2 linked regions of the Elephas maximus indicus genome follow. The protein of the gene in region 2 interacts with the protein of the main gene of each other region in a pairwise test. Links are inferred from orthologs where the notes say so. Each region holds a gene or a part of one and is shown on either strand. Other genes may lie near its edges.

Evidence for each region. The genes of interacting proteins can lie anywhere in the genome.
Region 1: the proteins of KLC3 (region 2) and BICDL2 interact in binary tests that used the Homo sapiens proteins (3 or more experiments, as listed by UniProt). The two-hybrid records come from large-scale screens. The link is inferred for Elephas maximus indicus from reciprocal best matches to the Homo sapiens genes KLC3 and BICDL2.

Annotation. Positions count from the first base shown.
Region 1 is NC_064830.1:60,098,148-60,101,892, reverse strand, and holds the start of BICDL2 (BICD family-like cargo adapter 2), read left to right. Parts: upstream 1-1,497; 5' UTR 1,498-1,575; coding exon 1,576-1,739; intron 1,740-2,798; coding exon 2,799-3,117; intron 3,118-3,745. Other genes in the region: proline-rich proteoglycan 2-like, read left to right, coding at 1,306-1,497.
Region 2 is NC_064829.1:104,373,852-104,377,596, forward strand, and holds the start of KLC3 (kinesin light chain 3), read right to left. Parts: upstream 2,984-3,745; 5' UTR 2,870-2,983; intron 1-2,869. UniProt on the Homo sapiens protein: Kinesin is a microtubule-associated force-producing protein that may play a role in organelle transport. Plays a role during spermiogenesis in the development of the sperm tail midpiece and in the normal function of spermatozoa.

The DNA.
Region 1 (3,745 bases), on a different chromosome or scaffold from region 2:
TCAAGGAGATGGATTGACACAGTGGCTGCAACGATGGGCTCAAGCATAACAAGATCGTGAGGATGGCACAGGACCAAGCGGTGCTTTGTTCTGTTGTACATAGCGTCGCTATGAGTTGGAACTGACTCATCTGCACCTAACAACAATGTCCTGGTGGCACAATGGTTAAGCGTTCGGCTGCAAACCATAAGGTTGATGGTTGGAACCCACCCAGCAGCTCCACAGGAGAAAAGACCTGGCAATCTGCTCAGGTAAAGATTACAACCTAGGAAACCCTATGAAGCAGTTCTACTCTGTCATATAGGGTTGGAATCGACTCAACTGCACACGACAACTGTCTGCTAGCAGGAATCCTTGTCCTAGCCCCAGGACCTAGGAGTCCTTGTCCCTAACCACACCTCCAAGGACTCCCTACATCCACTTCTCCACATCTCAGGAGTTCCAGCTCCCACCTAGTATCTAGGCCCCCAGGCCCCCAGCACTCAGGAGTCCTGGCCCCCATCCAGATGTGTGCTAGAGCCAGCTGATCCCAGGTGACAAAAGCTCATTGTGCACATCCCCTCCAAACTTCTAATTCAGTGACGTCACATCTATAGCTTGAAATCTGCAGTGAAGGGACTATTTATACCAGGGAAATTGGCAAATGCTACAAGTGAGTCCTCCCCATCCCTGGGAGCCTGTTGTTAAATATCTACCAGCACACCACTGCACCAGCTCTCCTTTTGTCCAAGGTCTGCCTGGAACATGACTGCATGCCCAGGCTGCATTGGGGCTGGGCCCTAAGCCTCAGGCCCAACTCCTCCCAGTCTCCATTTCCAGCCCTCCATCCCTGATAGGAGCAGGCACCCAGCTCTGCACAGCTCAGGAGCCTCGTCGGAGTGTGGAGCTACATGGATTAAGGTGTGGCTGTGGGCAACTCACTTTAACTGAGCCTCGATTTCCTCATCTGGAGTGTGGAGATCAGTCTAAGAGCACAGACCTTAACATCACACTTCTGGGGTTCACATTCAAGTTCAGCCCGTATGACCCTGGGCAAGTCAGGTGACTTCCCTGAGCCTCAGTTTCCTCATCTGTAAGATGGGGATAACAGTAGTTCTGCTTCATGAGGTAATAATGAAGGTAAATGAACTATGCCTATAAAGAGCTTATTTAGCAGAAAGCTTAGTATCAGCTTTGTTGTTATTATCATTGTTACTAATTTCCTACCTCAGAGGACAGTTGTGAGGGGAAAGGAGCCAACATCTAGGCTCAGCGTAGGTTCTGCGTACAGTAGGTGCTCATTTGGTCATTTCCAATGGCTTCAAGGTGCCTCTGACCAGGGTGGAGGCAACTTTCTTTCGGCTCCACCTGGCCATTCCGGCCATCAGGGGGCGCCCCAGCCCCGCCCTCAGCCCCTCCCCCTCACCTGTGCGGGCTGCGCACCTGGCACCGCCTCCGGAAGAGGAGACCCAGGACCGCCGAGACCTCGGTCGGAGCCCGACAGGGGGCTGCGGGTGAGAGCCCAGGTGTCGCCGAGGGCAGGGGCCTTCGAGCCTCGGGCAGGATGGGCCGGGCCGAGTCGGCGCGAGAGGAGGAATGCGGGAGCTGGAGGGGCTGCCGGACTCCTGCCCCTGGGAAGCAGAAGGCTGCCGGGGGAAAGGAAGGCTGGCTGGGCTTCAGATCCTAGGGCCGAGGGCTAGGGGGCTGGGGGGCCCGACGTCTGCGTTGGGACCACCGCGACACCTGGATCCGGCAGGCAGGTGTGAGATTCTGCGCCTGGCGCGGGGAGGAGGGGAGAAACAGGTGTGCGAGCGAGTGTATTAGGGGGAGGGGCTGGGGTCTTCCGGAGGCGGAGGGGTAGTTCCCAGGGAAGTCCCGTGGTGCGGGCCCTCGTGAGTCCCTGAACAGCCCGGCCTGGGCGCCCCAGAGGAGCGGCGGGCTCTGAGTCCCAGGGGCAGGCCGGGAAGTAAACAGAAACCCGGAGTCGTGCCTGCGGCGCGGCCAGCACAACCTGTTACCTCGCCCTGTCTGGGCCTGACGCCTGAGCCCTAGGAAACTGGGGGCCGGGGTGGCACTGCAGAGGGGAGGGCTGGGGCTCAGGATACTTGAGTCCCCAAGGGTAGAGGCCAGAAGGCCTTGGGCCGGCAAAAATTGGGGGCTGGGATGGGAATCCCAGAAAGGGTAGATGCTGGGATCTCTGAGTCTGGAGAGGTGGGGACCAGAACACCCTAGTCCTGAAAAATCAAGATCATGAGAGCCAGGATACCTGGGAGGGCTGGGGGCTGGAGACCAGGACATCAAGTCCTGGGCTTCTGGAAGGGGAGGGGGCTGAGCTATTGGTGGGGGATCAGGGCCCCTGAGTTCCCAAAGTGTGGGGTCCTGGATTCCTGGGAGGAGAGGGATCAGATTCCTCTTTGTGTCCTGAGTCCTGAAGAACCAGGGTTCTGGGAAAATGAGCTGAGTTTCCCAGATTGTCAGCGGCTGGAAGCCAGAACAGCTGGGTGCAGGGAACACAGGGGAAGGGGCAGGAACTCCTGGTGGGGTGGCCTCTGGCCCCAAGCACTGGGACAAGTTTTCCTGATGCAAAGAATGTCTGGCACAGGCAAAGACAAGCTGGCTCATTTCTTTCTGCTCCCTGACTCAGTTTACCCTGGGGACTCTAACGAAACCAGGTGGCCAAGACACAGATCATTGACCCCTCTTGGCCCAGGGAGGTCCTGCCTGTAGGGCTGGGAGGGCCAGGTGGCCAGATGGGCAGGTGGAGACTTGAAGGAGGGCCAGGTCTTGGCCAGTGGGGTGTAAGCCCCATCGGGCTGCAGAGTGGAGTATCTTGTGCCCACAGATGCTTCAGGCACCATGAGCTCCCCAGATGGCCCAAGCTTCCCATCGGGGCTGCTCTCAGGGGCCACCTCCCCCAGCGGCAACGAGGGCTTCTTCCCCTTTGAGCTGGAGCGGCGTGGCTTATTCCTGGGAGGGGGCCCCGAGCCCGAGGAACCTGAGGACCTGGCCCTGCAGCTACAGCGGAAGGAGAAGGACCTGGTGCTGGCCGCCGAACTCGGCAAGATGCTCCTAGAGCGGAATGAGGAGCTGCAGCAGCAGCTGGAGATGCTGAGTGCCCAACACTCGGAGCGTGAGGAAGTAAGCTGGCTGTCAGGGACCTGGGCCAAGGGTCAGGGAGCAGGATGGGCAGAGGGAGGACAGGTGGCCAGAGGTGTAGAGGGGAAGGGGGCCAGGCAAAAGGAGGACAGGTGGGCGGAGTGCAGGTGAGCAGGGGACAGGCAGGTGAGTGGGGGGAGAACATTGGGTAGGGGAAGACGATCAGGCAGGAGTGGGGAAGAGAGGGGGCTAGGTAAAGGGGAGGCTGGCAGGAGGCAGGCAGGTGAGCAGGTAGCAGGCAGGTGGGAAGGGGGAGGACAGCTGGGTAGGGGAGGATAACCAGGCAGGAGAAGGACTGGCAGACAGGTGTGGCCAGGTGAAGGGACCAGACAAAGGGGAGGACAGACTGTTAGGATGCAGGCAGGTGGGCAAGTGCACTGAGGGATGACAGCCAGGTAGAAGGACACCTCTGGACCAGTTTCCAGCTGGGCCTTGTCCCCTCAGTATTGTGGCCCAATGGTCCAGAGCATGGGCTCTGAGGACAAGTCAAGGCTTGGCTGTGTGGCGTGGACAAGCTGCTGGCCCTCTCTGAATCGTGGGACCTGAGTTACCTGGCCCTGGGCTCAGCACTGGTCAGGACCCATCTCAGCTCACTCTCACCCAGCCTATG
Region 2 (3,745 bases):
TACAACCCAACACAAAGGCACACTCTCCTCTCTGGAGTAACAGCCAACCCACACGGAAACTAACTCTCTCCTCCCCTTAGCTCCCTCGCCTCAGAAAGTATAAGCAAATCCCTCAGATTTAGACCGTCTCCTGATCTCTCTGCTTGTCCCAACGACATACACACTCCCGCACGCTCACACAGCCTGCAAGCCGCCAACTCCCCACTACCTCCGCAGCGCCTCCCAGGAGTCACTGTGAACCTGTCACCATCTTCCCCAAATGCTCCCTCACGTCCTTGCCTGGACAGCCACACACTCACACACCTACACACTGCATACCCACAGACACACACAGAGAGCTTCAAACACAAGGGAGTCCTCCCAGACTCAGTTACCCTGCCGGAAGCGGTGCCCACAGCGCAGACACCTGTGGCTGCACAGAGAAGGCAGTTCCCCGATTTTCACACCCATCCTCTCAGGTACACTTCACTGAAGCCACTGTGTCCACCATGAGCAGCCCAGGGGTTTAGCACCTCTTAGCACACTCATGATCAAGCACACTTAGACGCATACAGGAGTCCTTGGGTGGTGCAAACGGTTAGTGCACTTGGCTGCTAACAAAGGTTAGCAGTTCGAGTCCACCCAGAGATGCCTCAGAAGAAAGGCCTGGTGATTTGCTTTCAGAAAAAATCAGCCACTGAAAATTCTATGGAGCACAGTTCTGCTCTGACATACATGGGGTCTCCATGAGCCGGAATCGACTTGCCTGCAACTGGTTGGTAGATACATACAGAAAGGGCGTGAATGGAATCCTGTGGACTGTACAACCGACTGTTGATCGCCATTAACCTCAGTCTCTCTCTCCCCCTTTCATATACACACATATTGTTGTTGTTAGTTATTATCAAGTCAGTTCTGACTCACGGCGACCCCATGGGTGCAGAGAAGAAACCGCTTCATAGGGTTTTCAGGCTGTGACCTTTCAGAAGCGAATCGCCAGGCCTGCCTTCCAAGGGGCTTCTGGGTGGGCTCAAACCACCAGTCTTTCAACTAGTAGCCGAGCCTTTAACCATTTGAGCCACCGAGAGGCTCCATACATGCATATGTATATGTGTATATGTATGTGTGTGTGTGTGAGATGTGTGTGTGTGAAACCTGTGAGAGCTGGAACTCCGTGGGACTGCCCTGCTTTTCCAGGTCTTGTAAGTTTTCTGCCTTTGACAGGGTGCCGTCTTACCGCTTCTCTATCGCTCTCTATTAGTGGGAAATATTTTAGTTTTCCTTCTCTGACAGATTTCTGCCTGACACAGGCTCCATCTTTCACAGGTGTTACTGTGTGTGTGTATATATATATATATAAAATCTCATACCTCACACACAAGCCATAGTGGAACTCACAATCACACAAGCTCATCAACAGTCATCCCAACAACCACAACCATTATTCACACAATTTTGCCATCAGACACAACCTCCCCCAAGGTCACACGCCACCTCAGCCAGTCTGACCACCCAGCCCTCCCACAGTCACACAAGGCTCGGGCAGCCTCCTAACACACACCATCTCCCAGGCTCCTCCATTCCCAGAGCAGCGGACCCCTTTCATCTGCACAGTCTCCTGTGCAGAGGCACGTCGTGACAGGATGAGATCCACAGTCACCTCACACATCGACCCGGACACACACGCCCTCTTCTTCTCTGTCATCCCACAGAATGGCTGGGGGATAATCCCAGGCACACATCACTCGGACATCCCTTCCTCCAGCGCCCTTCTCCTACACTCAACCAGCCCCCCATAACAGGCAAGCTTTCACTGCACGTCCCGCCTGGTCAGAGCAGCTCAGCCAGTCACGGTCAACCCCCTCAGTCCCTCTCTAAAGTCGTGGCCTCACACCCACCTCCCCAGCACACATCCCAGCTCCCTGACACAGTCACACAGCCACATGCACCCTCACAGAGGCACACAGAGTCAACTGCAGGCACGTTATCACTCACGCAGTCCTATGGACACACGCACACACCATGGCTCAGGCAGAAAGGTAACCACAGCTACGCTCTTGATCACACACATAAGCCTAGAAACAGTTGGACTCCCCATTATACGCACAGCTTCATGCAGGGACACACAACCACTAGCTGCCAATGGTCTCCTAAGTCTCATATCTTTTGTCCTGACGTAAAGTCCCAGAAACAGCCCAACTCTCCCACACACACATCATCCACAAGCAGAAAGTTGGCCACAGTCACACAACCTTGCAATCACATACACAAAGTCCTGCAAACAATCCAACTCACAGGTGCACACAGTCAAAAGCTTGCTCACTTTTTCACCTCGCTGACACTGCCCCACACACAGGCCCTTAGGTCCCTCACGGAGTGACACACAGAGACCAGCACCCTTTCACATCCATACCCACAGCCTTACACCATCACACACACTCGTACACACCAGAGCCTCTCACACCATCCCTCACACACACACACACACACGCACGCATACACGCAGGTAGGCAGGGAGGAGGTTCCCATCATACTCCCCCCACCGCGTACGCTTACCCCTGGCCGCCGGCCCAGCCCCGCACCCCGTACCCCGCACCCAGGGATCCCTCCCTCCCTGCGCCCGTCACAAGGGCCCCCTTCCTCCCCCCTCCCCCAGGCCCCGCCCCGTCCTCGCTCCTGTTTACCTACGCGCGGGAGAGGGGGCGCGGCCCCAGCGAGGCCCCCAGATCCCCGGGAACCCCGGCCTGGAAAGGGGGCGCCCAGGGGCCCCAAGGCCCTTCCTGGTGGCCAGGTGAGCGGGCCCAGGGGTACTCCTGGCCCGAGGCTCCTCCCTCGGCCCCCGCCCCCATCACCTGGCCCCTGGGACCCCTGGCCGGTCCCTGGGGCTTACCTGACCTCGGAGGCTCCGGCACCAGCTACGCCGCCCCGCTCCCCGACCACCCCCAGCCCGGCCGCTCGGAGCTGATCCCAGAGTCTCGGGCCACAGGCTGCGCCTCCGGGGGCGGGGCGGCCAAGGGGCCCCGCCCACACAGGTGAGCCGGCCCCGCCCCTCGCCGCGGAAAGCCTCCGGCCGAGGCCTGGCGGCGGGAGTCGAGGAACCTCTGCTGCCCGGCCCAGGGCCTCTAAGGTGCGTCGAATCTAAGGATGATTCCAGCACCTGGTGGCCTGGAAACCGGAGTCGCGGCAGAGCTCGAGTCCTGGAAACTTGGAATCTTGGAAACTTTGGATCCCAAAACCATGGCCCTCTTGCTATGCCAACCTCGAGAGCTTGGTCTCTCTTCCTACAGATCTTCCTACAGATCTCGTCGTCATCAGGGCTCTTCCCAAAGGCTGCCTCCTCCGAGAGGACTTCCCTGACCACCGCATCTAAATTACACCCTCCATCAAGATACTAGCTCATTTCCCTGCTTGATTTTGTTCAGAAAATATTTCAGGGGCTAAAAATGATTTTATATTATATGTTGTATCACATATTGGAGCTCTAGTGGCCTAGTTGTTAAGAACTCGGCTGCTAACCAAAAGATCGGCAGTTCAAATCCACCAGCCGCTCTTTGGAAACCCTATGGGGCAGTTCTACTCTATCCTGTAGGGTCGCTATGAGTCGGGATTGACTCGACAGCGATGGGTGTGGGTATCACATATCATAATTCTATTATGTTATTATAGCATATTACATTCATTTATATTATTTTAATCTGGGGATCTGTTCATGTAAAGATTACAGCCAAGAAAACCCTAAGGGGCTGTTCTACTGTGTCACATGGGA